Mus musculus: one gene and its partners. The protein of the gene in region 1 interacts with the protein of each later gene in a pairwise test. Links are inferred from orthologs where the notes say so. Each region holds a gene or a part of one and is shown in the gene's direction. Other genes may lie near its edges. The genes, in order: Mtus2, Ddx6, Tshz3, Rgs2, Kifc3, Hck and Wac.

Evidence for each region.
Region 2: the proteins of Mtus2 (region 1) and Ddx6 interact in binary tests that used the Homo sapiens proteins (3 or more experiments, as listed by UniProt). The link is inferred for Mus musculus from reciprocal best matches to the Homo sapiens genes MTUS2 and DDX6.
Region 3: the proteins of Mtus2 (region 1) and Tshz3 interact in binary tests that used the Homo sapiens proteins (3 or more experiments, as listed by UniProt). The two-hybrid records come from large-scale screens. The link is inferred for Mus musculus from reciprocal best matches to the Homo sapiens genes MTUS2 and TSHZ3.
Region 4: the proteins of Mtus2 (region 1) and Rgs2 interact in binary tests that used the Homo sapiens proteins (3 or more experiments, as listed by UniProt). The two-hybrid records come from large-scale screens. The link is inferred for Mus musculus from reciprocal best matches to the Homo sapiens genes MTUS2 and RGS2.
Region 5: the proteins of Mtus2 (region 1) and Kifc3 interact in binary tests that used the Homo sapiens proteins (3 or more experiments, as listed by UniProt). The link is inferred for Mus musculus from reciprocal best matches to the Homo sapiens genes MTUS2 and KIFC3.
Region 6: the proteins of Mtus2 (region 1) and Hck interact in binary tests that used the Homo sapiens proteins (3 or more experiments, as listed by UniProt). The two-hybrid records come from large-scale screens. The link is inferred for Mus musculus from reciprocal best matches to the Homo sapiens genes MTUS2 and HCK.
Region 7: the proteins of Mtus2 (region 1) and Wac interact in binary tests that used the Homo sapiens proteins (3 or more experiments, as listed by UniProt). The two-hybrid records come from large-scale screens. The link is inferred for Mus musculus from reciprocal best matches to the Homo sapiens genes MTUS2 and WAC.

Annotation. Positions count from the first base shown.
Region 1 is NC_000071.6:148,310,320-148,313,442, forward strand, and holds part of Mtus2 (microtubule-associated tumor suppressor candidate 2 homolog), read left to right. Parts: intron 1-2,986; coding exon 2,987-3,123. UniProt on the Homo sapiens protein: Binds microtubules. Together with MAPRE1 may target the microtubule depolymerase KIF2C to the plus-end of microtubules. May regulate the dynamics of microtubules at their growing distal tip.
Region 2 is NC_000075.6:44,632,392-44,635,891, forward strand, and holds part of Ddx6 (probable ATP-dependent RNA helicase DDX6), read left to right. Parts: intron 1-1,701; coding exon 1,702-1,803; intron 1,804-3,291; coding exon 3,292-3,467; 3' UTR 3,468-3,474; intron 3,475-3,500.
Region 3 is NC_000073.6:36,696,618-36,700,917, forward strand, and holds the start of Tshz3 (teashirt homolog 3), read left to right. Parts: upstream 1-1,500; 5' UTR 1,501-1,632; coding exon 1,633-1,672; intron 1,673-4,300. Other genes in the region: Gm36722 (zinc finger X-linked protein ZXDB-like), read right to left, coding at 246-1,493. UniProt on the Homo sapiens protein: Transcriptional regulator involved in developmental processes. Functions in association with APBB1, SET and HDAC factors as a transcriptional repressor, that inhibits the expression of CASP4.
Region 4 is NC_000067.6:144,001,350-144,005,343, reverse strand, and holds the start of Rgs2 (regulator of G-protein signaling 2), read left to right. Parts: upstream 1-1,194; 5' UTR 1,195-1,225; coding exon 1,226-1,335; intron 1,336-2,290; coding exon 2,291-2,392; intron 2,393-2,502; coding exon 2,503-2,564; intron 2,565-3,061; coding exon 3,062-3,228; intron 3,229-3,469; coding exon 3,470-3,664; 3' UTR 3,665-3,994. UniProt on the Homo sapiens protein: Regulates G protein-coupled receptor signaling cascades. Inhibits signal transduction by increasing the GTPase activity of G protein alpha subunits, thereby driving them into their inactive GDP-bound form.
Region 5 is NC_000074.6:95,125,558-95,129,057, reverse strand, and holds part of Kifc3 (kinesin-like protein KIFC3), read left to right. Parts: intron 1-2,350; coding exon 2,351-2,532; intron 2,533-3,500. UniProt on the Homo sapiens protein: Minus-end microtubule-dependent motor protein. Involved in apically targeted transport. Required for zonula adherens maintenance.
Region 6 is NC_000068.7:153,132,468-153,135,967, forward strand, and holds part of Hck (tyrosine-protein kinase HCK), read left to right. Parts: intron 1-1,601; coding exon 1,602-1,751; intron 1,752-2,156; coding exon 2,157-2,309; intron 2,310-3,500. UniProt on the Homo sapiens protein: Non-receptor tyrosine-protein kinase found in hematopoietic cells that transmits signals from cell surface receptors and plays an important role in the regulation of innate immune responses, including neutrophil, monocyte, macrophage and mast cell functions, phagocytosis, cell survival and proliferation, cell adhesion and migration.
Region 7 is NC_000084.6:7,867,706-7,871,996, forward strand, and holds the start of Wac (WW domain-containing adapter protein with coiled-coil), read left to right. Parts: upstream 1-1,491; 5' UTR 1,492-1,869; coding exon 1,870-1,910; intron 1,911-1,987; exon of another isoform or gene 1,988-2,184; intron 2,185-2,285; coding exon 2,286-2,322; intron 2,323-3,825; coding exon of another isoform or gene 3,826-3,843; coding exon 3,844-4,039; intron 4,040-4,291.

The DNA of each region.
Region 1 (3,123 bases):
TGGCATGTAATCTTTCTAGTCTCTGTAACTTTCTCTTAATATCTGATGCTGATTGCCCTATAAAAGCCATAGCAACCACGGCTTGTTGACCCTCAGAGGTCAGGTCAAAAGGAGTCTAGCGTCTATAAGCTTCCATCAATCTTTCCAGAAAAACAGATGGGGGCTCGGTAGGACCCTGCATCACCTCTCTTACCTTAGCCAAATTGGTGGGGCATCTCGCTGCTCCCTTTAGATCAGAGCCCGGTGGTAAACTGCCAACCTCTCTCTACCTTGAGCCATATTGTAGTTCCAATCTGGCCGGTCCAGAGGGAACCCAGTGTTAATCTCATTAGGTAGGTTGGTTGGGACTCCATTCACTCCGGGAACATTTTTCTGAGCCTACAGGAAAATGCGCTCTTTTTCTTCAGTGGTAAACGGAACCTGGAGGAGCTGCTGACAATCATCTCAAGTGGGTTGATGAGAAAACATAAGAGACTCCACCAGCCCCGTCAGGCTGGCCAGATTCTCAGAAAAGGAAGCATGGTTAGCTTTCCAACTGTACAGATCTGCAGAGATTGCGGGTCCGAGGGCAGGTCGCCCACAGCTGGCAGAGGAAAAGCAGAAGTGGTGTCAGGAGCTCCATCTGCTGGGGGAATCTGGGCTCATCGTCTCCGGGTCCTGGCTGCCATCCCTCCAGCTGTGCTGTGGAGGAGCAGACCCAGGGGGCGGGGGAGGGTAGAAGATAGGGTGAAGGGGAAGGAACTTGGGGGGAGCTGTGGGTTGAAGAGGAGGCTCCGTTTTGGGAGGAACCTTTTGGTTTCACTTTTGTTTTCGAGAAGAGTCAGGGCTCGGGAGCCTGACCTACACTGGGGAATCCATGGTTTGATCTATGACGATGGATTCTGGACGAGGTCCTGCCAGACAGTAATGTAAGGCTGTTGATCTGGGTGGGACCCAGGTCTGCTCTGAAAAACAATGGCTTTAACTTTAAAGATAAGAGTCAAATCAAAAGTCCCATCCGGTGGCCATCCTACATCAAAAGTCGGCCACTTGGAGGCACAAAAAGTCTGTCAAGGTCTATTCTTAATTTCTACTGAAAGATTATGGGCCCTTGACCTAACTTCAGTCCAGTGGTCTAAAGTCAAACTTAGGGGGGTCATTACAGTCTGTGCCATTGTCCAAATCACCGAAAACACGAAACAGGTACACACACACACACACACACACACACACACACACACACTGACAAATGCCCATCTTCTAATGGACAGACAAAACCAACTCAGAAATGCAAAAGGTCAGGTAAGTACATAAGTCCTCCAATCTAGGAAGACTACCAACTCTTCACTCCCCATCCCAGACGGACTCCTGGAGTCCTTCCCCTCACTCCAGGGCATCCCCCAGAGCGGGCAGTGGGTGATTCCAGCATGTCTGCTGTTCACACTCCATGCCTCATCTTGAGGTGCAGGTCTCCGCTTCTCATGAAACGTTGCAGCTGCAAATTTCAGCACCGAACATCCCCGGCTCACAGAAATATTTTTAGACAAGAAATCTCACCTCCAAGTGGGTCTTCGGAGATGTGGGTGGTCGCGCCAATCCCGGGACGAGCCCCCAATGAAAGACCTTGGAAGGGAGACCCTCACTCAAGTCTCGGGATAATAACGGACCCCCAAGAACTCACAAGAGACCAAGCTTGATGCAAACCACACGAGGCTTTATTGGGGGGGGGGGAAGCCAGAGCTCTGGGGACGACTCGTACCCCACACAGGGGTAGAGGAGTCGACCCCGAGGGGAAAGGGGTCCCAGTTTTTATAGGCCCCCAGGGGGGAAAGGAGAAGGAGGGAGTAGGGGATTACCCAATCTAAACAATGTCTAGTCTCAAGAAATGGGTATGGGAGGGGTCAAGGAAAGAGTCTGGTGCAGGTGCAGCAACTCAGGATTGGCCCCGGCTGTAGTTGCTGGGGAGATTTTCTGACTCTTCCCCAGCAACCAATATCACAAACACCTGGCAATGGGCTTCATCAGTGGGCACACACATGGGTTTAAGGAATGGTCAGAACATTGGCAGACACATGGGTTCTAGGAGCAGCCAGAGCATTGTACACCTCTATTTTTCTAAATCAGTGAAGCTAGTTCTGCTAACAATGAAATCTATTTTGCCAATTTCAAGGCTTCTGTGACCTTTTACATTCTGTCAGGATCTTTCACTTCTAAAACACATAATGGAATAGACAGGCCACTCAGTGGTTAAGAGCACTGGCTGCTCTTCCAGAAGACCCAAATCTGATTCCCCGTACCTACTTGACAGCACACAACCATCTGTAACTCTAGTTCCAGGAGACCCACGCCCTCTTCTGGCCTCCATAGACACTGCATGCAAGTGGTTCTCAGACATGCATGCAGGCAGAACACTTACACACAGTAATTATAGAAATTACTGAAAACATGCAGCAAAGCCAGCAACTTAAGCACCATATCACACACACACACACACACACACACACACACACAACATGCCTTTCTGCCCCCTTCATTAGCCAACAGTGAACAAACATCTGTTTTTCTGAGTGCCATCCAAGAACATAACAGAGCCTCCACCCCTGCCCTCTAGGGCTTGTGGTCCAGCAGACAGACAGGTAGACAGACCGACTCTACAGCAGAGCTAATGACTCTGCTCACAGAGGCATGTACCTAGGGCAGGAGGTAGCGGGAAAATCTTCCTGGATGACTGGCAGCTGTTAGTCCGTACCCTGACCACAGCCAGAGGCAATCTCCATCTCTCTAAGCGACCCCTCCTATGGGCTTCTGGCAGCATGCTCATTTGGCCTACCATCTCCCCCCTTTCCGCTCCAGCCTCTCACCTTTCTCTGTGCATGACTGCCACAACCTCCCCTAACCCAGCAGAGAGACTTGTGAGCCATGAGGTATCGCCCCTGGCCTCTGCCCGTCAGCCTCAGTTGCGTTAGTAGGCCTGCCTGCTGCCTAACCATTGTTCTCTTTCGTGCAGACAACTGTCGGAGGAAAATGCAAACCTCCAGGAATACGTGGAGAAAGAGACCCAGGAAAAGAAGAGACTGAGCCGAACCAACGAAGAACTACTTTGGAAGCTCCAAACGGGGGACCCAACCAGCCCGATTAAACTCT
Region 2 (3,500 bases), on another chromosome or scaffold:
GCCTGCGGAGGCCAGAAGAGGGCATTGTATCCCCTGGAACTGGAGTTCTCAGGCAGTTGTGAGCCTGTTGATATGGGTGCTGGAGATGAACGCACATCTTCTGGAAAGAGCAGCAAGTGCTCATGTCCAAGGAGCCATCTCTTTAGCCACCTATTTTAAAATATAGTCAGGATTTTTGGGAAAATGCACATAAACAAAACACTTGTTACTGCTACCAGATATTAAATTTGGTTATTCCTAGTAATCAGGAAGTAACTGTAAAAATAACTTTATGGAGGCAGTCATATTATTGAGTGGTTAGCTTTTTAAAGTTGTGTTTAAATATTTAGCTGTGTATAGATATTTTTTTTTTGGACATTTGGGAAACCTATAAAATAGCTTACTAGTGAAAGTAAAGTTGTTAGTCAAATTGAATATTCATAAGAAAATTGAGACTCTTGCTATCAGGCACCTGCCTCCAACTCCATTTTTCAACTTTAAATAAAAAGTTGGCTTAAGAGCTGTAAATTCAATCCCAACATTAAAAGAAGACAGACATTGATAGTATTACTACACTGGTTAATTGGTTTATTTGTTTGTTGAGTCAGGGTCTCATGTAAGCCAGGAGAGCCTAAAGTTCAGCTTGGGATGGCCTGCTTCCTCTTCTGAGACAAAGGATTGTGGGTACTGATATGCCAAGCTTTACCTGATCTTGGAATCCTAGGATTGCCTAGGGTTAGGGTTTTATGCACTGCACTCATTCAAGATTCTTAATGTATATGTGGAATGCTTTGGTATATAAAATCCTACTTGTTAGGGTGGCTGACACAGTTTGAGGCTAGCCTGTGCTACAGATTGAGTCCTTGTCTCAAAAAAGCAAAGTAATGAGAAAATGCCACTTCTCCTTCAAGGAATGTTAAATTAATTAGAAAGTTGGTATTAAAACTTGCGTACCATGTAATCTTCATTAAAAGTACTTGATTTTGCCATCTCAGAATCAGCCTTAAGATGGAGTACAAATGAATGAGCATTAAAAATAAAATTGTAAAAAACAAAAAACAATAACAAAACTAGTTGGTGCCAGGTGTTGTGCAATCAGCAAGCACTTGGGGTAGGGGCAAGAAGGTCACTTCAGGTTCAAGACCTTCCTGCTCTCTGCTAGCCAGAGGCCAGCTAGAACTACAGTGACCTGTAGTGAAGATAGTTGAGCTTGGTTGACAAGGGAGTAATGTAATTATTATCCTAGTGGTTATTGGAATACACAAGAAATAGCTGTCAAGTCGTTTCAGAAGGGACGGGGTTTTAATTGGCTTTATGGACTGGGTAAATTTGATGTGGAGAAAAAAAGATTTCAAGTTTGAAGACTTGGGTTAAGAATAGTGCATAAAGGTCTACACAGAACGGCAGTGTGTGCTCCTAATCCTGACGTTTGGGGGTTTGACAGAGGAACACGAGTTCAAGACTAGCTTGGGCCACCAGTGATCCCCACCTCAAAAAGAATTCAGTGTCGTGAGTGGTTTTGGAAGGTTGTTGTGAGAAAGGAAGGAACCCTGATTATGACCCTGTTGTGAGCGTGAGGGACTTTGCCTATTAGTTTACTTAGATGAGTTGTAAATTGTTTACCATAAGTGGATGGAGGACTTCTAAAAGCATAATTAGTGAATTACCTTTCAATAATGAAAATCATTACTTGTTTGTTTGTTTGTTTGTTTGTTTTTTCAGATCTGTTTACCCGAGGTATTGATATACAAGCTGTGAATGTGGTAATAAACTTTGACTTCCCAAAGCTGGCAGAGACCTATCTTCATCGTATTGGAAGATCAGGTAAGTAAGAATGGGGGTAGCCTCGCAGACATTGCTTGATGAGAAATACAATCTTTCATTTTTCCTTTGTGAAGTAAAGTATAATAGCTGTGAGAGCAGTGAAATCACATCAATTGACTTGTTTGATATTTAAAACTAAGTAATTTTTTTATTAATCATTTATATTTGGAGACGGGGTCTGGCTACATACATAGAAAGCCCAGGTTATACTGGAACTTAAAATGTACCTGCCTCAGTCTCCCAAGACCTTGTGTCATTTATTAGAGTTAAGCCTGATAGAGCACCTGAATCCAATCCTGATACTTACGTAACAAGAGAGAAACAGCTGTCAACACACACACACTTTTTTTTTTTTTTTTTTGGAGACAGGGTTTCTTTGTGCTCTGGCTGTCCTAGAACTCACTTTGTAGACCAGGCTGGCCTCAAACTCAGAAATCCGCCTGCCTCTGCCTCCCAAGTGCTGGGATTAAAGGCGTGCCCCATCATCGCCCGGCTAAATTATAAAACTTTTTAAAGAATGTTCTTTAAAGGTAAGCTGACTGTATGTGGTGTACACTTGGGAAGAGGAGGCAGGTGACATCTGAACACCTGTGTGTTAGAGGCCAGCTGGGGTTACAAACTGATTTTGAGGCCAGCCTCAAACAACATGATTGAGACCCAATTTCGGGGGTTGGGGGAGTTAAAGTAAGCTGGAAATGGTGGCACATACCCTGTAATCCTTGTGTTTGAGAGATTGAGGCAGGAGGATCATGATTATAGTTGGTAGGGGGGTTGGGAGAAATGGGTTTGCTCTCAAAGAGCCTGTAAAGCCCTCTGTTTGATTTCCAGTACCCACATCAGGTAACATAAAAGCACTTGTAACTGCACCTTGTTAATAACAAAAAGTTAAGTCACATAGTATCTCACAAGAAGAAAGAAGGAAAGAAAGAGGTTAAAGTAATTACTATATACTTAAAGTGAAACACAAGAAAACTGGATTGATTGAATGGTGTAGTGTACAAGTGTATTGTTCAGTGTGTGTATTTTGACAGTCGTACAAACGAGTATCCAGTTTGTCATTTCAAAACCAGAAAATTAGGTATAGCTGTCCCTCGGGGTTCATGAGCAATGGGTTCCAGGACCCTTGCCAACATCAAAGTCTGGGTAGTCTCTTAAAAGCATGTGGTATTAGCATATAACTGGTGTCTATGTTACACTGTATTGTTTAGGGAGTAGTTGTCCAGAAGTCTGCTGCCTGTTCAGTACAGTTGATGTGCCAAGAGAAAGACCTAAGTTGTTTTGTTTTTTATTTGTTCAATCTTGTTTGTGCCATTCAGAATGCCACCAAATGAATATATTGCTGCTCTGTGTTTTGGCATATTACAGACTTGTTAATACATGTTGCTCTCAAAACATGTTAGATAGATACATACTTTTATATTTGAATCACTTTATTTACCACTTAAACTTTTTGCCAATTTTAAACTCATTAAGCACATTTTTCTTTAGGTCGCTTTGGTCATCTTGGCTTAGCCATCAACTTGATCACTTATGATGATCGCTTCAACCTGAAGAGTATTGAGGAGCAGCTGGGGACAGAGATCAAACCCATCCCAAGCAACATCGACAAGAGCCTGTATGTGGCAGAATACCACAGTGAGCCTGCAGAAGACGAGAAACCGTAACAAGCACGTATGTACCTAGTAACCTGACAGAAC
Region 3 (4,300 bases), on another chromosome or scaffold:
GAGACGCAATCGAGCCCGCAGCGCATCGATGCGCCGCCGCCCGCGCCTCTCAAGCTCTGGCTGGCGCTCAGCCGCCACCGCTCGAGGGTCGCCCGCGTGAATTCCAGCCCACCCGCGCCCTCACCACCAGAGTAAGTGAGCCCACGTCGCCCTGTCGCCACCGCAGCCTTCCAGCCGCCTCCTTCCCGGGGCACATCGGCCGAGTCTGCCCGGAGCCTCTGCGACCCCAATCACTCAATCAATAATCAATCCCCTTCGTCCAGAACTGCCCCTAAGCTGGGAGCGGCTGGGGCAGTACCCTGTCCAGGGCGCACCCCGGCGGGGGATGGGCAGGGGAACCCGAGTTTCTTCTCCCTCCCCCGTTCCCGCCTTGGCAACCTCCGACGCAGTGGGTGGGGGGCGCGGCCAGTAGCCCAAGGGGGCGAGACGCGGGGTGCTGAGACGGTGATCGTCCCAAAGTCAGTAAAGGAAACTTGGAGGTGCCCCCTCCCATGCTTACCCCCGAAACAAGCCTGGGAAAGTTTGTGGCGGGGGTGGGGTGGGGGAACGGAAGGAGGTAGCCACTGTAGGTCCCAGGAGGGAAGACCCAGAGCCCACACCCATGTCAGCCCGCACATCTTCTCTCCAGGGCACCCCCGGGGCCCTGGCATCTTTGATAGGGGTACCATCCCAACTAGGGGAGCGCTCTGGGGCTGCACGCGGCGGGTGGAGAGGAGTGTGGGCCGGGAGGGGCAGCCGGGAGCAGCCCGGGGTTGAGACCGGGTGGGGAAGAGGGATGGGCGGGGGCTGTGGGCGCCCCGGGACGCGCTCCGCAGGGCGGACCCCGCGCCTTTGCGAGAGCGCTCGGGGCGGAGACGGAGGGCCAGCTCCGGGTGTCTGGACTTGGGCGGGGGGCCCTGGGCAGGCGTCCGGGCCAGGACCCAGGCTGGGGGCGCCTCCGCGGGCAGGCGAGTGACACGATCATCTCCTTTTCCTTTAAGCTTGCCTGTTGCCGACGCCGCCGCTCCAGCCGCGCCGTGGGCAGAAGACTGGACCGCTGAGCCCCGGGCCGCGGCGGCGGCGGCTGCGCCCCCCCTCCACCCCCCCCCCCCCCATGCCTTGACCTCCCTGCCTGGGGGCGGGAAGCGGGGCAGGACCGACCGGGGTCGCTCCTGGGCTCCTCCTCTCATCTCTCTGCCCGCCTTCTCCTCCTTCACTCCCCGCCCCCCAGCCCCGAACCCCGCGCACCTCGTCTGGGGACGGGGCGGGGGGGGGGCAGGGCGACCGCTCCTCCCCGCCCCCTCCTCCTCGGGCCTCTGGAGCGATTTGTCAAACTTCCCATTCCGCCGGCAGCGCGGTCCTCCTCCTCCTCCTCCTCCTCCTCTGCCTCCTCCTCCCCCTCGCGCTCCTCCTTCCCCGCGCCTCCCTTGCCCGCCCTCCTTCCCTCCGCACGTTCGGGGATCGCGGCGGAGCGCAGCGAGGGGGGGACGCGGAGAGCCGGGGCGCAGCAGCATCCTGCGGGCGGCCGCTCTCCGGGGGGGAGGCTGCGAGCAGGCCCGCCTCGCCCCCCCCCCGCCGCCCCTCCCTCCCTCGGCTCAGCCCGGCAGCGGCGGCGGCGGCGGCGGCGGCGGTGGCAGTCGCGGGAGAAGCATCATGCCGAGGAGGAAGCAGCAGGCGCCCCGGCGCGCAGCAGGTACGAGCGGCTTCCCCTTCCTCCTCCGGTCCTCCTCCTCTTCCTCTGCTCGCGCCGCGCCTCTGGGCCGCCGGCCCCCGCGTTGCTCGCCGCACTCCTCGCCTCTCTCTCATTTTCTGTCTGTCTCTGCGGGCGCTGAGTAACTCCGGGAGCCCGGCTGGCTCGGGGCTCTCCTGCCCGGGTGCGCGCGCCCCCCAGTTGCCCCGCTATGTTCTTCGCTCGACCGGCTCGCACACCCTCCTGGGGACCACCGAGCCGGCTTAGGTCCCCGCCTCTGCCGATCCGGCTGCAGCGGGGAAGGCGCTCTCCAACCCGTGCCTTTTGGTGGGGGGCGGGCGGGGTCACCTGAGTTCTCTGGGACATCTTCCGCGTTGTCCCGGGCAGTACCCGGTGACTACCGGGACCAGAGCGAGCAAGAGTGAGCTAGCGGATCCCTCTGGCCACCTTACTGCTAATTCGATTGATTCTTCATTTATTGGGCCCAAACCCGGTACAGCGGTGGAAACCAGAGCGCACTGGGTCTGGGTATTGTCAGATGACTGTCAGGTCAGTGTTGGATGCTGACATTTCCTCCATTCCTGAATGTCTTCTTACCCCCTCCCTCTCTTTCCGCTGCTGCTCCCTACCCTTTTCTAGCACTTAGTTCTGGGACATATCTGAGTACTCCCCCCTCCCTCTCTTTTTCTGCCAGGAACGTCAACTCCTGTTAGGACTGAGCTGATTTTTTTTTTTTTTTCCTTCTGGAAAAGAGATTCATTGAAAACAAAACAAAACCCACACACATAACATTATTTTGCAATAATGTCGGTTGGGGGCACGTTGGCTGGAAGAAGGGTTTCTGGCCGGTTGCCACCCTTGATTTGATGACTGATTGATCGCCCGTCATGCCTGTGCCTTTGATCTATTCATTCCCAATAAACATCAATAAATCACTTGCAATAGTGAGGCCAAGCTCCGTGACGTCAGGAGGGCCCTGTCAGTGCAACTTCAGGGATTTGGGGCGGCTTGCCGAGAGAGGACCACATATGGACGTGATGTATTTTGATATGAATAACACTCAGACGTGCAGAGGCTCAGACGCTGCCTGAAGGGGAAGGTTGCTTAGGAGTCCTTTTCTTTAATCTTCTTTCTTCTCACTTCTCTTTTGATAAAAGAGGGGAGGGCTGAGCGAAGAAGGGTCACCGAGGTAATGTTCCACGTGCTGGTGGGATACAGGCTAGTGATGGTGCTATGCAGGCTGCTGCTGCTGGTGATTGCCATCAGACCAGCGGGGCTCCCACCTCAGCTGCACTCTGGCCTTCAGTCTCTTTACCAGGGTCACAGGGAAGCAACCATAAGGTACTTCTCCCAGAAGTGTATTGGTCTGACAGTGTTGTGAAGAAACCTTAGGGGGGAGGGGGATTCAACTTGGTTTGGTGCATAGAATGAAGGCATGTTTTCCCTCTGTACTCTCAGTGTTACCCAAATTTAGAAAGTTTGAAGATCCCAACAGAGAGCTCACCTCCTCACTGATGCTGCCTGCTCATCCCACCTCCTCCTTTAAATTCCAAGCTTTTTAGCAGTGAGCTTATCTACCCAAAATAAACTCTAAAACTTTGGAGGCATCCTTTACAAAGTTGGGTAGTAGGAATGTCTTGGGCTTCTTCCAGTCTAGATTTTTTTCTTTCTTTTTCGGGTACACATTTTTTAAGGTATCCGTGCCTCCATCCAATGAAACATATGTGGTTGCATCTTTACATTTATTTTGAACTCTGTAGCTCTTCTTTACTGCTCCACCCAGCCCATAGGACAATTTTCTCAAACGTGCTGTTGGTTTGATTTTTAAAAAAATTTTTTAAATTATTTTTATTATTTTTTAAAGCAACCTGTTCACTAACCTTTTTGCACTTCTAAGCCAGCCAGGAAATCTCAGGTCAGTTAAGGAAAATTCATTATATAAAAACTTGACTGCCCGACTAATGGGAGATGGAAGAATGGCTTTGCTCTATCAAAATGACCCGTCAAAACGACTTTGTTTCATATTTGATTTAATTGTCTCTCTCCTGACAGGCACATTCATCAATAGCTTAATGGTCAATCAGAAGTTGGCAGAATGAGTGCTTTCTTTCTTTCTCATACTCTGGTTTTGGATTTACTTTATCAGAATGCCTCTGCCTAATGGACTCGTGGAGGAGGGGGTGCAGGATGGCTGAAGGGCTCCACACAAAACCATTCCACGGTTAGGATGCTTGTGAGTTGCCCAGGCCAGTAAGTGAGCTGTGCTGTGCAGGATGCCTGCTTTGTTTTGTTTGCTGGTTTGCATAGATGGACTAGGAACTTCTCTGCTTCCCTCCTTTTTTTTTTTTTTTAGTTCTCGAAGCTGCTTTGGTGACATCTTGGGAGCGATAACAAATTGATTGCTTTGTACTGATAGAGAGACGGTGGGAAAAAGAAAGATGTCTGCTGATTGGTGACTGGAAATCCTGTCCACAGCAACCTTGAGAATACTGGAGAGCAACCCACCCACCCCCCCTCCCCAAAACTGAAAGGTCCGCTCAGCCATAAAAAAAGAAAAGTTGTTTTGCCAGCTTCATTAGTGTTCACCTAATTAGCTGTAAACCTGATGGATTCCTGACAGCTTTAATGATT
Region 4 (3,994 bases), on another chromosome or scaffold:
GTTTGAGAATGGGTCTTCATTTTCCTTTTAGTAGATCTAGTATGAATCAGAATAACTAGAGCCTAAGCCGTACCTTTTTGTTAGTCTGTTCAGACTTTATGGGAAAACCACTTAGGTATTCCGCCGCATCATTCTGGTAACATAGGAAGCTGAATCAGTTTGTAGTTGAAGTCATGTATTAGTTCTTACAAATCAGGGCTTATTAAACCCTGCAGGAGCAGAGACAGGGGTTCTCACAAATGAAGCTTACCCAAACAAATTCTTTACACCAACCGGCTCTCACATCTAGCTCTAGCCCCCACTGCACCGCCACCTTAACTTAAGCAGTTGAACATCTAGTAATTCCTAAATCTGTTCAACCGTGAATGACTCATGAGGAAATCCTGATTCCTTACGCTCTGAAACTACACATGATCCGTGTGCAGCAGAACTGCGAGATCCTGGGTTTCCCTTTGTATTTCTCACCTATCTCTCTGATCTTTGCTGTGCCCCGCAGGAGATGCCCCTCGGGTCTCCTGGGGAACGACCCTGCAAAGCCACAGCCTGCTGCAGCCATGCATTTAAAGATCAAAACTGCAGAACTGGTTAAAACACCAGGTTTTAATAGAAACTTTCTCCCGCTTCCTCCCTGAGTAGCGTGGAATTCCCTTTAGGAATTCCAAGGTGCCTGAGCGAGCTACAGCACCTTACTCAACAGTCCATATTTCAGGTTTTTCTAGTTGTTTGATTTCCTTCTCTAAAATAGGTAGAGTTGCTGAGTGCAGCCAGCAGGGCTCTCCCCATCCCAGCTGCAGTTTATGGGTGTCCGGATGAACAATAGATACAAAGGTGGGGCGCGCGCGAACACACACACACACACGCACACGAGTAAAAGGTACGGTCTTCAGTAAAGGAAAAGCCAAGAACTCGGAGACCCTTCACCGCGTGGCTGCCCGAAGTGCCTACCAAATCTCTCTGTGTCCCCGCCCGCCACCTCCCACCCTGTGTGCGCACGAGGATGCGGCGCCTACGTCAACAGCGCCCTCGCTTCCAGGCCCTTCGGGGGCTGCCGTGACTGCCACAGGCCGGGGCGACTCCGCCCTCGTGCCGTCTGCAGCGAGCCAATCCGCGCTCTCTTGGGGCGTGGCTGACGCCTCCAGGTCCCGCCCCTATGCCGCCGCCCGCCTTAAAAGCCCGCGGCGCGCTCCCGGCCTCAAACAGCTGCGGTGGCCGCGGGAGTCTGAGAATGCAAAGTGCCATGTTCCTGGCTGTCCAGCACGACTGCGTACCCATGGACAAGAGTGCAGGCAACGGCCCCAAGGTCGAGGAGAAGCGGGAGAAAATGAAGCGGACACTGTGAGTATGCCCTGTCTCCCGAAGAGCTCTTCATACCCAGCCTGGCTTTGCTGCTAGGGACCTACCTTCCCTCGATCTCGGCTTTGAATGCTCTCTAGTCTGCACCTCTGCAGAGAAAGTGTGGGGGCTTGGGGGGTGGGGGGTTAGCTTGCTAGATATGGTGGTATTTGCTTTTTTTCTATGTGAGCTCCGAGAGTTTAGGAACTATAGGAAATGGTTGAAGAAGGTGGCGGTAGATGATCTGAGAAGGGCTGGTTGGCTTTTTGTTCTGCATTTAATGTGGCATCAGAATCCTGTAGCTGAATAACGTCCACCGGCGTCTGGACGTTGCATTGTTAGTTCTGAGCTGCTTGCATAGCTGCTGGGTGGAGATGTTTGAGTTGATTCGCAATGTATGAGATCCATTTTTAAATCATAAAGTAGGGCTCACCCAGTCACGACTATGGAATGAGTAATTTGCTCTGCAGTATCTGCTGCGGAGAAGCACTGTGGGCGGTCGCAGAGGGGAGCTAGGGAATCCATCACACACACACACACACACACACACACACACACACACACACACACACACCTATGCATTGTCTCTGGCATAGTGCAGACCCTCCTACCCCCAGTGCAGAAAGGGAAGAAACATCAGCTGGGTCAAGACTGCTGTTCTCAATTGAAAAATGACAGCAAGCTGTAGTTTAACCATGCAGAAAATCCACTACCTGTTTATTAGGTCAGAAATAACTGGTGAAAATTTAAAATACCCTGGCTGTTATGTAGTCCTATCCTGCTTGTAAAGCTCATTATAGTCGGATGAATGGATAAAACTGTGTTCTGAGGTGCTGGGTTTAAAAGCTAAGAGGGAGAGACTCATCTGCTTTGTTTGTAGCTACTGCAGCTGATGATAGTTTGACCGTTCAAGAATTGCCACTTGAAGTATTTTTTTTTTCTCTCTTTTTTTTTCCAGCTTAAAGGATTGGAAGACCCGTTTGAGCTACTTCTTGCAGAATTCCTCTGCTCCTGGGAAGCCCAAAACTGGCAAGAAAAGCAAACAGCAAACTTTTATCAAGTAAGTTTCGGATCCTGTAGTTACAGAGATGAATATCTAACCAAGCCAAGCAAAAGGGGAAGGGGAACTGATGTGTGTTGGGGAGCTCATTTGCGGAACTTCTCTTGCAGGCCTTCTCCTGAGGAAGCGCAGCTCTGGGCAGAAGCATTTGATGAACTGCTGGCCAGTAAATGTAAGTTCACCTCTTGAATGTGATCTCTCACCAGTATCTTTAAAAGCCTAGAAATGATTGCAAGAAGTGCATTAGACATTACCACCACTGACAGTTCAAAGCCTCTTTTTCTTTCCCTTATATCACTGGGTTTAATCATGGGGAAGCAAGAGGTATTCACCTCAGGTGGGGAAGAAAAGTTAGCCTAAAAATTAAAATGCCAGTTACTCAGGCTGTGGTTGAGTCAGCTTTTCCATTGCATAGAATATTTTCAAAAGCCCTAGTTCCTAGTGAACTTATGGCCTATAAACACTGGTCTTGCAGTGCCAGTGAAGTTAAGTATACTTTTGTTGCAGACTACAAACTTAAGCATTTTTGCCTACTGGCATCTTAGTGCTTAAAGAGCCAGACCTAGAGAATGACAGGCTTGAATGAAGTCTAGGAAACTGATCATTTTGTGCAGAAGAACTGTGTATAATTCGGTCGTTCCATTCATGCTGCTTTTCCTGTGCTTCCAGATGGGCTGGCTGCATTCAGGGCGTTTTTAAAGTCCGAGTTCTGTGAAGAAAACATTGAATTCTGGTTGGCTTGTGAAGACTTCAAAAAAACCAAATCACCCCAAAAACTGTCCTCAAAAGCAAGGAAAATCTATACCGACTTCATAGAGAAGGAAGCTCCCAAAGAGGTAAGAAGACAGGCGCCTCAGATCACCTTCAACACTGTTGAAACCTGAGACTTGAATACACCACATTCAAGCACAAGTGAGAAGAGCCCTGTGCGCCTCTCATCCCAGCTGTCCTAACATTTAAGTTTCTCCAAAGTTGACAGTTATAACTGATCACAAGTTACACCTTTATGTTTTATTATTAAGCATCAATCTGCAGTGTTGACTAGCCAATAAATGGACTTTTGTTTTGTTCTTTCAGATAAACATAGACTTCCAAACGAAATCTCTGATTGCCCAAAATATCCAAGAGGCTACAAGTGGCTGCTTCACCACAGCTCAGAAGAGGGTGTACAGTTTGATGGAGAACAATTCTTATCCTCGGTTCTTGGAGTCCGAATTCTACCAGGACTTATGTAAAAAGCCACAGATCACCACGGAGCCCCATGCTACATGAGACCAGGAGTCCCCCCACACACAAAGGACATTCCATTCTGTCTCCCAAGAGCAAAGGCTGTGACCTGCCAGAAAAAAAAAAAAAACTGACCTTGAATTCAGCCTGAGTGTTAGGAAAACATCGCTCAGAACTATTGATTCAATGTTGGGTAGTGAATCAGGAAGTCAGCAACCTAGGAGAGGCTCTGTGTGAGAACGGCTTCCCTCACTGTGTGAAGAACAGAGGGAGGGAACAGGCCTCTGAATGTGTTCTTCCTCCTTGTCGGGAAAGCAGAGTTTGAGATGAAAGATCCGATGCAATGTTGTTGGAGCATTTAAAATCAATAGGTCT
Region 5 (3,500 bases), on another chromosome or scaffold:
CCACGGACAACCATGTGTCTGTCCCAGGGCCACACCCAGTGATAAGAGACTTTGGCCACTGGAGGTTGGGTTGGATTTCCCTTCTTTTTTGTCTTTTCCCAGTACCTACCTAAAGCAGGGCGCAAGAGCAGCCTCCCAGACGCCACCGGGTCCCTTCGCCACCGGGTCCCTTTGGCAGAGGCCTGGCCGTGTTCTGGTCAGAGGATCCAGAGGTCAGGGATTTGTTTCCCCTCCCCCCAGACTGAGACACCTAAGCCTGCAGTTCCATTATCCTCTGACCGCTGTGGCACCTAGAGCTAGCTGGTTTTATTTAGAAGGTTCTCCGGGCTCCTTTGCAGGTTCTGGGTTTTCGGCAGTAAGTACTGGCCAATGAACACAGGGAGAGAACACCTTACGGAGCCTCAGGACAAGGCCAGGAGTACTAGGAAAAGGTGCTTCTGCTTTCTCAGAGTCTGTGTGTCTGAATTTGCTGAGGTTGTTGGAGGATGTCACTCCCTTCTCTCTGAGTCTGAACCAGTGCCTGTTCCGTACGAACGAGCCCTGGTCCACCCAGATTCAGGGCAGGCATAGGGTGTGGGTAAGCAGTGGGCAGGCAGGCTTTCAAAATGGCCACCATCTGGCCAGCAAGGTGGGGCAGGTCCAGAGGAGGAAGGCTAGGTCCTCTTAGCAGTGAGGATTGGTGCAGCACCTGAGCCATGGGCCCTGTGGTGGGCCATGCCTCTGGAAACTGGCCTGTTGGGTCAGGTGGTTGCTTCCTCAGCCAGGGGCTTGGTCTGCGCAAGGTCCCTTGGGCCTCGCCTCTCCTCCCTTCTTCCCATTCTCAGTCCTCCCTTAGCTTCAAGAGAGTTTCTTCCACTACCCATGACTCTGCAGGTTCCACTCAACTCCTGGCCCTCTTACACGGGGTACCATGCTGAGGTCTGGGGCTCAGAGCCTCCCAGGACAGGAGCCATGTCATGGATGACACTCGGACCTGTGCTACCTGTGGGATCCCAGCTACTTTCCCAGGGCTGCTTTTGGGCTAGGTACATCGTCCCTGTTTCACACAGGAAGAGCCTACAGGGTCCCCCCTTCAATGTGATTCAAGAGGCAAGCCCAGCTCTCAGCCAAGCCAGCACATTCTGTCACGCACCAGTGCAGTCTGTGGCCATACTGATCACATGTCATCTGTGGCAGCCCCGTGTGCCGACCTAGAAGCATCGGGGGCTGCCCTTACTCCCTCTAGAATAGATCACAGAGGCTGGGCCTGTACCGTGTGACTTTCATGCTGTGTGTCACATGCAGAGCCACACAGCTGGGGCCACTTGCCTAGCACGGGTTGTCCAGCTCCGGATCTCTGGGGGGGGTGGGGGGTGGGAGGACACTAGCCCCACCCATGGGAGCCCAGCTACCGCTGCTGCCTCCCATTTCCCTGTGCCACTCTGGGGCTTTGCAGAACTGTGGTCAAGGCTTGCTAGTGGTGTGGGGTGGCCCCTCACCTTTGAGAAAGCCAGAAGCTAAGGCTGCATTGAAATAGAAGGCTCCCCAGCTAGCACTGGGCCTCCCTCCGAATGCCCAGACTCTTTGCAGGACCCCAGCTTGGGATGCTGAGGGGAGAAGGCAAGTCATTTTCTTGTTCCCCCTGGACTGCTGCTGGTTCCTCATTGCACAGAGCTTTGGAACAGCCCCATTGCACATCACAGCCCCTGATGCTTGTCCTGTCTCCCATCCTGATGACAGAACAGTAGAAAGTATTGGGGGAGGAGGAGTTGGGCCTCTCTTGTGCCTGTGTGACACTCCACTCAACCCCCCTCTGCACCCCAGTTCCCCCCCCCAGACCCCTGTACAGGCATCAACCTGAAAATGTGCCTAGCCCCTGGTCTGTCCCATGTGCTGGCCTGTCTGTGCTCACAGACATGCCCCCTACCCCTCCTCCACGTGCACAGGTGACCACTTCACACCGAGCAGCTGACTAAGTCTGGTACTCTCTGCTGTGCTTTTGAGAGATCGGGAATTAGCATGGAGAGCCATTTCTGAGTGAGCCACCTTTCTTTCCAAGTGGAAATTGCCTGAGGGCTGGCCACTGAGAGATGCACTAGCCCTGGCTGGAATTCACCAGTTTGAGGGGATTCAGGAAAAATGGTTTTCCTCAGTCTTGGTTTAGGCAGTTCTGTCCCCTAGAAGCTATAGCTAAAGTGACTTCCCCAGAGGCCAACCTGGAGGTCCCCTGCAAACCCATTTTGCTGTATCCTTCAGCCCCACCTGCTAGCATCCTCTTCCCGCCCTGATGGTGCGCCCTGTTGTGATGGCCGCCTCCCTCCTCCAGGCAGACCTCCACTCTCCTGCTGATCAGCCACTACTTTGCTTGTAGGTGGGCGGCTCTTTGGCATCGGGAGGTGCTCAAGCCTGTCCGGGGCACCAGGCCCAGACCCCGTGGTACATAGGACCGTGGAGGCCATGTCCCAGCTTCAGGAGGAGCTGGTAGTCCTTCGGGAGAGGCTGGCCCTCCACGACAGTGACCGGCAAGCCACAACCACCCAGCTGCAGAACCAGGTACCTGGGGAGGCAGGGATGAGCAGAGGCCACTCACTGCCCTCTGGGGAACAGGTCAGAGGACATTGTCAGGGCACCTAGACTCCACCAGAAGCCAGATGGTGACGCTCTTCTGGTTCGGGAAGACGCTGTAGGGTGAGGAGGTTCAAACCTGGTATCTTACTGCAGCAAGTGTCTTCGGCACCTGAGCGTCTTCCCAGTCAAAACATTTTCCTCTGTAATTGATGGAATCTACTTGCTTGTTAATTGGGGTAGTTGAGGGCCGCTGAGATGGTTCAGCAGGTAAGAGCACCTGACTGTTCTTCCAAAGGTCCTGAGTTCAAATCCCAGCAACCACATGCTGGCTCACAACCATCTGTTATGAGATCTGATTCCCTCTTCTGGTGTGTCTGAAGTCAGCTACAGTGTACTTACATAAAATAATTTTTAAAAAAAGGTGGGGGGTGGAGTCGAAAGTGAACTGCTCAGACTTTCTGGTGTCCCTAGCTCCGCTCCTCTCATCACCTTTAAGGTGGACCTTAACCCACCCTCAGGCCTCAGATGACTTGAGAATTCAAAACTGTATCTAGCCTCTGCTCAGGTTTTATTGGTGGGCTTTTTGGTTATGTGTTTATTACAATGTTCTTAAGGGATGGTATCTGTAGCTGTGCTCTGTAGGGTCCAACCCTGTGGAGACATGGCCAGCCTCCTGAGCTGTGAGTAAACCCTGACTCTGGCAGCACTTACTAGTCCTGGGCTAGGTAACTACCAGTCTGCACCTCATTTCCTCATCTGCAAACGGATAAGACAACAGAATCCAGATGTGCTAGCACATTGTAGGGGCAGATGTGACTCTGGAACCCTGGAAATACATCTGTCTGAGGTGGTCTTGGCTGTGAGGCTGTAGGGAGAGTTGTCTGTCCTGTGAACCCCACTTTCTGAATTCCAGCCAGGCCGAGATGAGTGTGGCTTGTAAGAGTGGACAAGAA
Region 6 (3,500 bases), on another chromosome or scaffold:
AGAGATTGACCTGTCTAGTTCTACTGAGAGGCAAAGAAACCAACAGCCCAGTGACAGACCTGTGGACAGGAAGGTGGCCTGGACTCGCTTCCACAGCCCCCTGGAGGAGGGGGCTTGCTGGGGATCTGCCTGATTTAGAACACGGTCCCAAGCACTTGGCTGCTTTCCAGATCCTGCACACCCTGTCTAGCACCAGGTACACCAGGTTCCCCTTGACTGGGATAGGCTAAGAAGGAGCCAACCGGACAGCCTTGGAACCCAAATGTGCTACTTGCCAGCTGTGTGACTCCAAGTGAGTATGTCACCTATAAAGTGAGGCTGATACGTCTATAAAGCATCTGCCTCGTGAGACTATTCACTATGATGAATGATACGATCCAAGTAATTTTAATTGATGAAAACGCACACTGTTCCTGTCATTCACTGTTCATTTGGCCAGCATGCTTAGAACAGCTTGGCTTGTTGTCAGTTGTCATTCAACAATCTAAACTTCCCTCAATGACATTGTGCTATTATAAGAAGGAGGAAATATGAAAGGCAGAGAAGCTAGGTAACATAGCTCACACGTGGTGGACTGCGGCCACAGATTGGAATGCTTGTGTATCTCTGGTCTGTGTGACAATCCAAATCATAGATTACTGTAAGCTGGACAGTTTAGAGCCACACATCTGTATTGTCTCTCAGTTCTGGAAGCCAAGAGTCTGAGTTTGCTGGTCTCTGGTCAAGATGTCTGTGGGGCTGGCTCATTTTGGAGTCTTGTAGGGGCGGGGGCAGGGCTCCATTTCATTTTCTGTCCTTGTGGGCTTTGAAAGGCCACAAGTGCTGCTTGGCTCATGGCTGTTCCTCTCCAACACCTATTTCCACTAGCATGTTCACAAACTGAGTCCTTTTGTTAAGGACCCCTCTGAGTTCCCTGGGACACCCCTGGACACTCTGTCATGTAAGGTCACATATTTCCCAGCTGCAGGTGTTCACATAAGAGCATCCTGGATACTATGCAGCTGACCACAGTGCCTATTTTCACACTTTAGTAATCAGACCAGATTTTCTTTGTTCTTTTTATTTGTATGTTTTCAGTTTCTCTCTCTCTCTCTCAAATTAGTATAGTATCTTGGCTTTTTCTTCACTAAATAGATACAGACAGATAAATGGTATAGAAGATAGATAGATAGATACATAGATAGATAGATAGATACATAGATACATAGATACATAGATACATAGATGAATAATGATGTGATAGTGACAGTCAGCTTACTTTTCCAAGTCACTTACAAGTATTACTTCTGTTAATCATGGGGCAAACTGATGAGATGGAAAGGCATAACAACTCTTATTTTACAGGCGAGGAAACTGAGGCATAAAAAGGTCCAGTGGTCATTTGGTCAAGGGCTCACAGCTGAGAACTGCAGAGCTGGAATGGGAACCCAGGCAGCCCAATGCCTCAGCCCACTCTTAATGAAATGAGCTTCTGCCCAGGTAGCACATGCCCAGCTGTGCCAGGAGAGGCCTGCGGGGCATCATAAGGATGCCAAGGTACTGACATCAGGTAGCAGGCTTCTAAGGTGCCATTCTGAGGGGCTTCTCTTGGACCAATACAGGGAGCTACTCGTTGTCTGTTCGAGACTTTGACCCCCAGCACGGAGACACCGTGAAGCACTATAAGATCCGGACGCTGGACAGTGGAGGCTTCTACATCTCTCCAAGGAGCACCTTCAGCAGCCTGCAGGAACTCGTGCTCCACTACAAGAGTGAGTCTTGCTCGAGGCCACGCCTCCACATTTGACTGCAGAGCCTAAGCTGCTCCTCACTGCACAGTGTGGCCAGGCTGTGAAGCAGTCACTAGCCACAGCTTTTATTCCTCAGCACCTTGGCTTTGCTTTGCAATGGTTGTTTGGTTCTGGAGAAGGAGAGTCTACTGCTTGCTAGGCAAGTACTGTATCATACCACGAGCCCCCACTAGGAGGGGCCTGTCTCTCAGAACCCCAGTGGCATGCAGCTCTGCACTCAGACTTCCTGGCCTGGACAGGCAATCACGCTGGGCACCCCTGAAGGTTTAGGCTGGCTGGACATGAGGGTGGCGGTATACAGGTGTCATTCATCATGCTCTGCGATTTGGGGAATGTCCCACCTGCTGACTGGGCACTCTGTTTCAGAGGGGAAGGATGGGCTCTGCCAGAAGCTGTCAGTGCCCTGTGTGTCTCCCAAACCCCAGAAGCCATGGGAGAAAGATGCTTGGGAGATTCCTCGAGAATCCCTCCAGATGGAGAAGAAACTTGGAGCTGGGCAGTTTGGAGAAGTGTGGATGGGTAAGGAGCTGGGGCCAGAGTCCATAAAGCCAGAGCTGGGAGGGCCCTGAGGGTACAGGGATATCACCCAGCAGTGGGGAATTTAAATAATAACCACAGGAGGCCACTCCTCAGATAGCAAACCAAATTGTCTACTGGGAAATCACTAGTTTGCCTTTGTGGCCAGGCTTAAAGGTCAAAGAACTGCTCGAGTCCTGGATGGGAGTTGTATGGAGTTGGGAACAGGCTACCTTGTGGGGCTAGCATACTCAGGGCCTCTTGTGATGGTGAAAATTCATAGTGAGGGGAAAGGCTTGGGTTTTCAGGTGAGTCCAATGCTGGCAACTAAAGACAAAGCTGTTCAGATCATGAGCCACAATGTCCAGTGACATTCCAGGCATGATGGGACACCAGAAAGGCCAGCACACCCCTGTGGTCCTTGGCCCAGTACCTTGAGAACAGGAGAGGTAGATGGTCACAATACCTGATCCACCATGTTAACACTCCCCTGTGTGGCAGATGGAAAGGACGGAGCTTGTAGAGATGCAAACATTCAGCCAGATAAAGTGAGTTTTGAAAGCCTGTGGCTCAACTACATTTACCAAGAGCCCTCTACATGCCAGGTGCTGAGTAAATGAAGCCATAAGGAAGTGCAAGGAAGAAAGACAGATCTGAGAAGCAAAGCTGGGACAAACAAAACAAACAAACAAACAAATAAACAAAAAACTGTCCCATGAGACCCCCATGCTCTCACTACAAACACCACAGATCTGGATTTGAGCTTCCTGGCATCCAAGATACACAGAGAAAGAAAAGCATGTATAATACCAGAGCCACTAAATGAAGCAGGGTGGGATGGAGCAAGAGAACAGTGTGTGGCAAGTCCCTGCAGCTGAGGACTTGAGGGTCAGGTGTATGCAGGGTGGTTAATGTGTAAAAGCCAGAGTGAGGCCAGAGAGATGGCTCACTGGGTAAGAGGGCTTGCTGCAAACACCTGATGATCTGAGTTCAAACCCAGAAACCCACACTGAAAAGAGGGAACTGCTGGAAAAGATCATCCTCTGACCTACACACACGTGCACACACACATGCACACACACGTGCACAGAGAGAGACAGAGAGACAGAGACAGAGTAATTTATTTTATTATTTTTTTAAAAGAAAGTAAGAGTGAATTTATTGAGTCAGGCCTAGTGATATATGCCTACCATC
Region 7 (4,291 bases), on another chromosome or scaffold:
TCAGGTATGTCATTCTCACATCTGTGTACATTGGGTGCATGCTGATGTGGGGGTGACAAATGAATTTTACTGTGTAAGTTTGCAAACACAATATTGAGTATCACTCCTACATCTTGAACATTTCCTCCTTTAGCTCAGCCCTGTGTTACCTCACCACAAGGGAATAAGAATAATGGTGCCAGTCTTTAGAATTTCCGTGCAAGACGTAATATTTTTTTCCCCTCTTCCAACTTAGTGTTTGGGACTGGACCAAAGGACCCTTATAGGAGAGATCTGACTACCCCCATTAAGGGCATTTTAACTTTTTTTTGTGTTTAATTTGTGCTAAAAAATGTTACAAATGACCTATCCCTCTAGCCCTCCAGTCACTTCAGGCACCAACAACCTTTTTTCTTAGTTACTGACAGCTTCTGTGGGCGTTAAGCAGGGTTTTACTAGTTGCCATAATAATCAACTTAACATTTGACAAGTGGATCTGACAAGCCGACACTGTTAGTTTAAAAAATCTTTTCAGCTATGATTTCAAGGTCTCTTTCCGTATTACACTATTTAGGATTAATGTAACCTTTTGGATACCGAGTAGTCTTTTCAATTTTTTTTTTTAATCCTTATGTGTTTTACCTCTCTAGCCTGCTTACGTAGCAATTCTTTCTGTTAAACCCATGTTCCAGGAAATAAAAAGGCAGTGGACTGCCACCAAGAAAAGATTGTCACTGATAAGTTTCCTCCCCGTGAATCGCAAATAATTTATAGCAACCTCACTCACTACACCGCTCATTTTCTGTACTCCCGTACTCTGGAAAGAATTTCCTTCCACGGAGAGGAAGAACTAGGAGGGACACAGGAGTCGCCGTAGGAAGGCTCCGTGCGGCCGGGCACTTACGTGCCATGGCCAATGCCACAGGCGCGCGGTCGGCGCTGCTGGGTGGCAGCACCAGCCGCGGTTCTGGGTTCTCCCGGCCCGCCGAGTGTGACTTCCGTCGCGGCCCGCCGAGGCTCCGCGACCACCGTCCGGGCCGCCCAATTAGGGGCTTTCCGACCCCCGCACGGAGCCCGAGGGGCGGGGGACACGGCCGCCTCGCGGAGGGCACCCCGCCCCCGCCGCCGTAGCGCCTCTGGGCGCACGCGCAGCTCCCGCCGCTCCGCATTTAGTCCGAGATGGCGTCCCTCGCGCCCCACGGTTCTCTTCCCGAAGGTGGCTCCCACCCTGCGCAGCCCGGAGGCCCCGGGGCTCGCCTCACGCAGGCTCCGGAGCACGATTACCCCTAAAGTGGAACGGGAGTGGCCGGATTCGCGAGCGAGGAAAGCAGCAACCGGAAGGGCTTGACGGGTCGCGGGGCGAGGAGCCCAGGCCGCGGAGGAAGAGGAGGGCGGGAGCGAGCCGAGGTTTGTCGAAGGCGGCGTTCTCGAGCCTCGCGGGGCGGGGAGGAGGGGGTGTGGCGGAAACTGCCGAGCTTTCCCGAAGGCGGCTGCGTCCGAGTTGCCCGGATGTAGTTGGTGGAGCGGCGGCGGCTGTAGCAGCGGCAGGAGGCGGCGAGAAGGACCCGGCGGCGGCGGAGCAGGAGGAGGGAAGGTGCTGGAGGCGTTCGCTCTCCGCGGGGACCGGAACACGGCCTCTCACCCCCTCCCCCCGGCTCGCGCTGCCGCCCCGTAGTTGGCACCTCTGCCCCAGCCGGCCCTAAGCGGTGGTGACGGAGGGAGATGGCCCGGGACCGCCGGCGCCAGTAACGGGGAGGTGCCGCGAGCCGCCGAGGGTGCGCTGAGACCTGGTGCCGGGGCTGCCCGCCGCCCGCCCGCCGCCCGCGCGCCCGCCCGCCTGCCTCGCGGCCGCTCTCCCCCTCCCCGACACACACACACAGCCGGGCATTGATGGTAATGTATGCGAGGAAACAGCAGAGACTCAGTGATGGGTAAATCGTCTTTTCGTTTCGGGCCGGGCCGCGGCGGAGGGCGGGCGGACGGGCGGGCGGGCGGGCGTCCTTATCGGGAGCTGGCCGCGCCGCCATTTTTGTTGTTAACCCTGATCGGGATCGGTCGGAGGAGGCGCCGGGCCGGGCCGGGCCGGGCGGACGGGCTGGCGCCCTGGGGACCCGGAGGGCTGGACGAGCGGGCTGTGGCTGCGGCCTGAGTCCGAACCCGGGCCTCTGAGCCCGGGGAGCGTCCGCCGCGCGCGGATCCGCGCTGGTACGTTTGTCCGCCGGTCCGCGGGGAGGGGCGGCCGGGAGACCCGCTTTCTTCCTTTCCCGCGATGTCTCACAGGACGGTCCTTCTTTACTGTTTTTCAGCTGTCACGACCGGAGAGGGGACTCTCAGCCTTTCCAGGTACCAGCCGATCCTGGGTGGAGGGATTGGAGGGGCTGGAGGGGGAAGGGAGGGACTGCTACTCGAGCGCAGGCTTCAGAAGTCGCTACAGGCCCTTTGGTGCAACAAATCTGAAAGTAGCACCACTGGTCCGCTTAAAATTCAGTATTGGGTTTTATTAGCATTCTCCAAATGCATCTTGAGAGGTGACTAGAGGAAGCACAGGGGTTTGTTTTGCCTTTTGTTTTTTTGTTTGTTTGCCTGTTTGTTTTTAAGGGAAAAAAATACTCGGAAACAGGAAGACCTGGCTTGGCTTGAATGTGAAGGAGTCACTGAAGTGTAGTGATATTTGACTTCAGAGGCCCATTTATTTAATATTCTATCGAGGAGCCGAAAGATAAATGTGAGAGTTGTAAAAGTAGAGTAAAGGCTTGAGAGCAGTAACTTGAGTTACTCTCAGTAACAATACTCTTACCATTTTATTTATTTAGTTCAGATTATGCTATTTCAAAGAAAAGGTTTTGTTTTTGCTTCAGTTAATTTAAACCTTCCTTTACTTAGTAATTCATGCTAGTAGAAATGATTCTCTACTATTCCACTGAAGGTTTTGCGTGTAAAGTTTTAAAGGTTTGCAGAAATGTCTTCAGGATACTGTCTGAAGATAACAGAAGTAAATACTTTATGCCTCTAATCACCCTTAAAAGAGAAAATAGGAACAGATCTGTGTCTCCCTCAAGGTTCCGTGGTCCAGGCTTGCTTCCAGTTTTACTCCTGTCTAGTCTTCAGAATGCTGGTTACACGTGGGAGCCAGCACATTTCCAGCCTGACTCTTGTACAGGAGCTTCTGGGATGTCAGAATATTTGCATCTGTCAAACATTATTTCCTTCCCTCCCAGACTGCAACACTGGGTTCCTCTTCAGACACCTGCAGTGTAAAACCATTATTTTGAGGGCATTTAGAATTCTTCCTGTTTAGAAACACTGTTCATGTATCAGTTTGTTTTGGCACATCATGTTACATTTTAAAAACTAATTTATCCCTGAAAGAGCTTATAAATTAGGGACAGTGCTTTATTTGAATCAAAAAAAAAGAGGAAAAACTGTTGTCTTTTTGAAAATTGTGGTTATTAAAATATGCTTATTTATAGACATGCTTGGATGCATTGGTTGTAGAGGTTAAGTGGATAGTAATCTAAGCTCTCAAAAATTGATTTTAGTTTTGAAGAATTTTTTTTTCCTGGTAGGTCAGTGTGCCAAAATACTGTTTAAAAAAAGTTTACATGATCAGATAGGTTTCTTTTCTTTTCTCTTCTTTTCTTTTGTGAGTGTGTGTGAGTGTGTGTTTTGTGGTTGCATCTGTTATCAGGAGTTGCATAGGAAATCTGGAGCCTTTCCCTCTTCTCTGAGTAAGGGAAGTACTGAAAATGGAAATTCTGAATTTTGATGTAAGGGAACCTGACATAGCAAAATTTGTCATTTAAATTGGGAATTGAGTTTAAGTTTTCAATTTTTCTCTCTCTTTGGGGGGGTGATGTTTTACAGGCACTTAAGTATTCTTCAAAGAGTCACCCCAGTAGTGGTGATCACAGACATGAAAAGATGCGAGACGCCGCAGATCCTTCACCACCAAACAAAATGTTGCGGAGATCTAATAGTCCTGAAAACAAATACAGTGACAGCACAGGTCACAACAAGGCCAAAAACGTGCACACTCAGAGAGTTAGAGAAAGGGACGGTGGTAAGTAGCTCTCGGGCTAAACTGTCATGTGTGTGTCCTGGGAGAGTTAGAGAAAACAGTGCAGTCAGCACATTACCATGTACTAGTATTATCACTTTGAATCCATTTTTTGTTTGTTTTTTAATTCAGCAGGCACTATGGGAAAATGGTATCAGCATGAACACACAGTGTTTGATAGTGCAGTTACAAATACAGGCTTCTAAATGGTGACTAGTGATTGGAGAGTTCCTGAACAGTTTCCCAAGAAAGGAA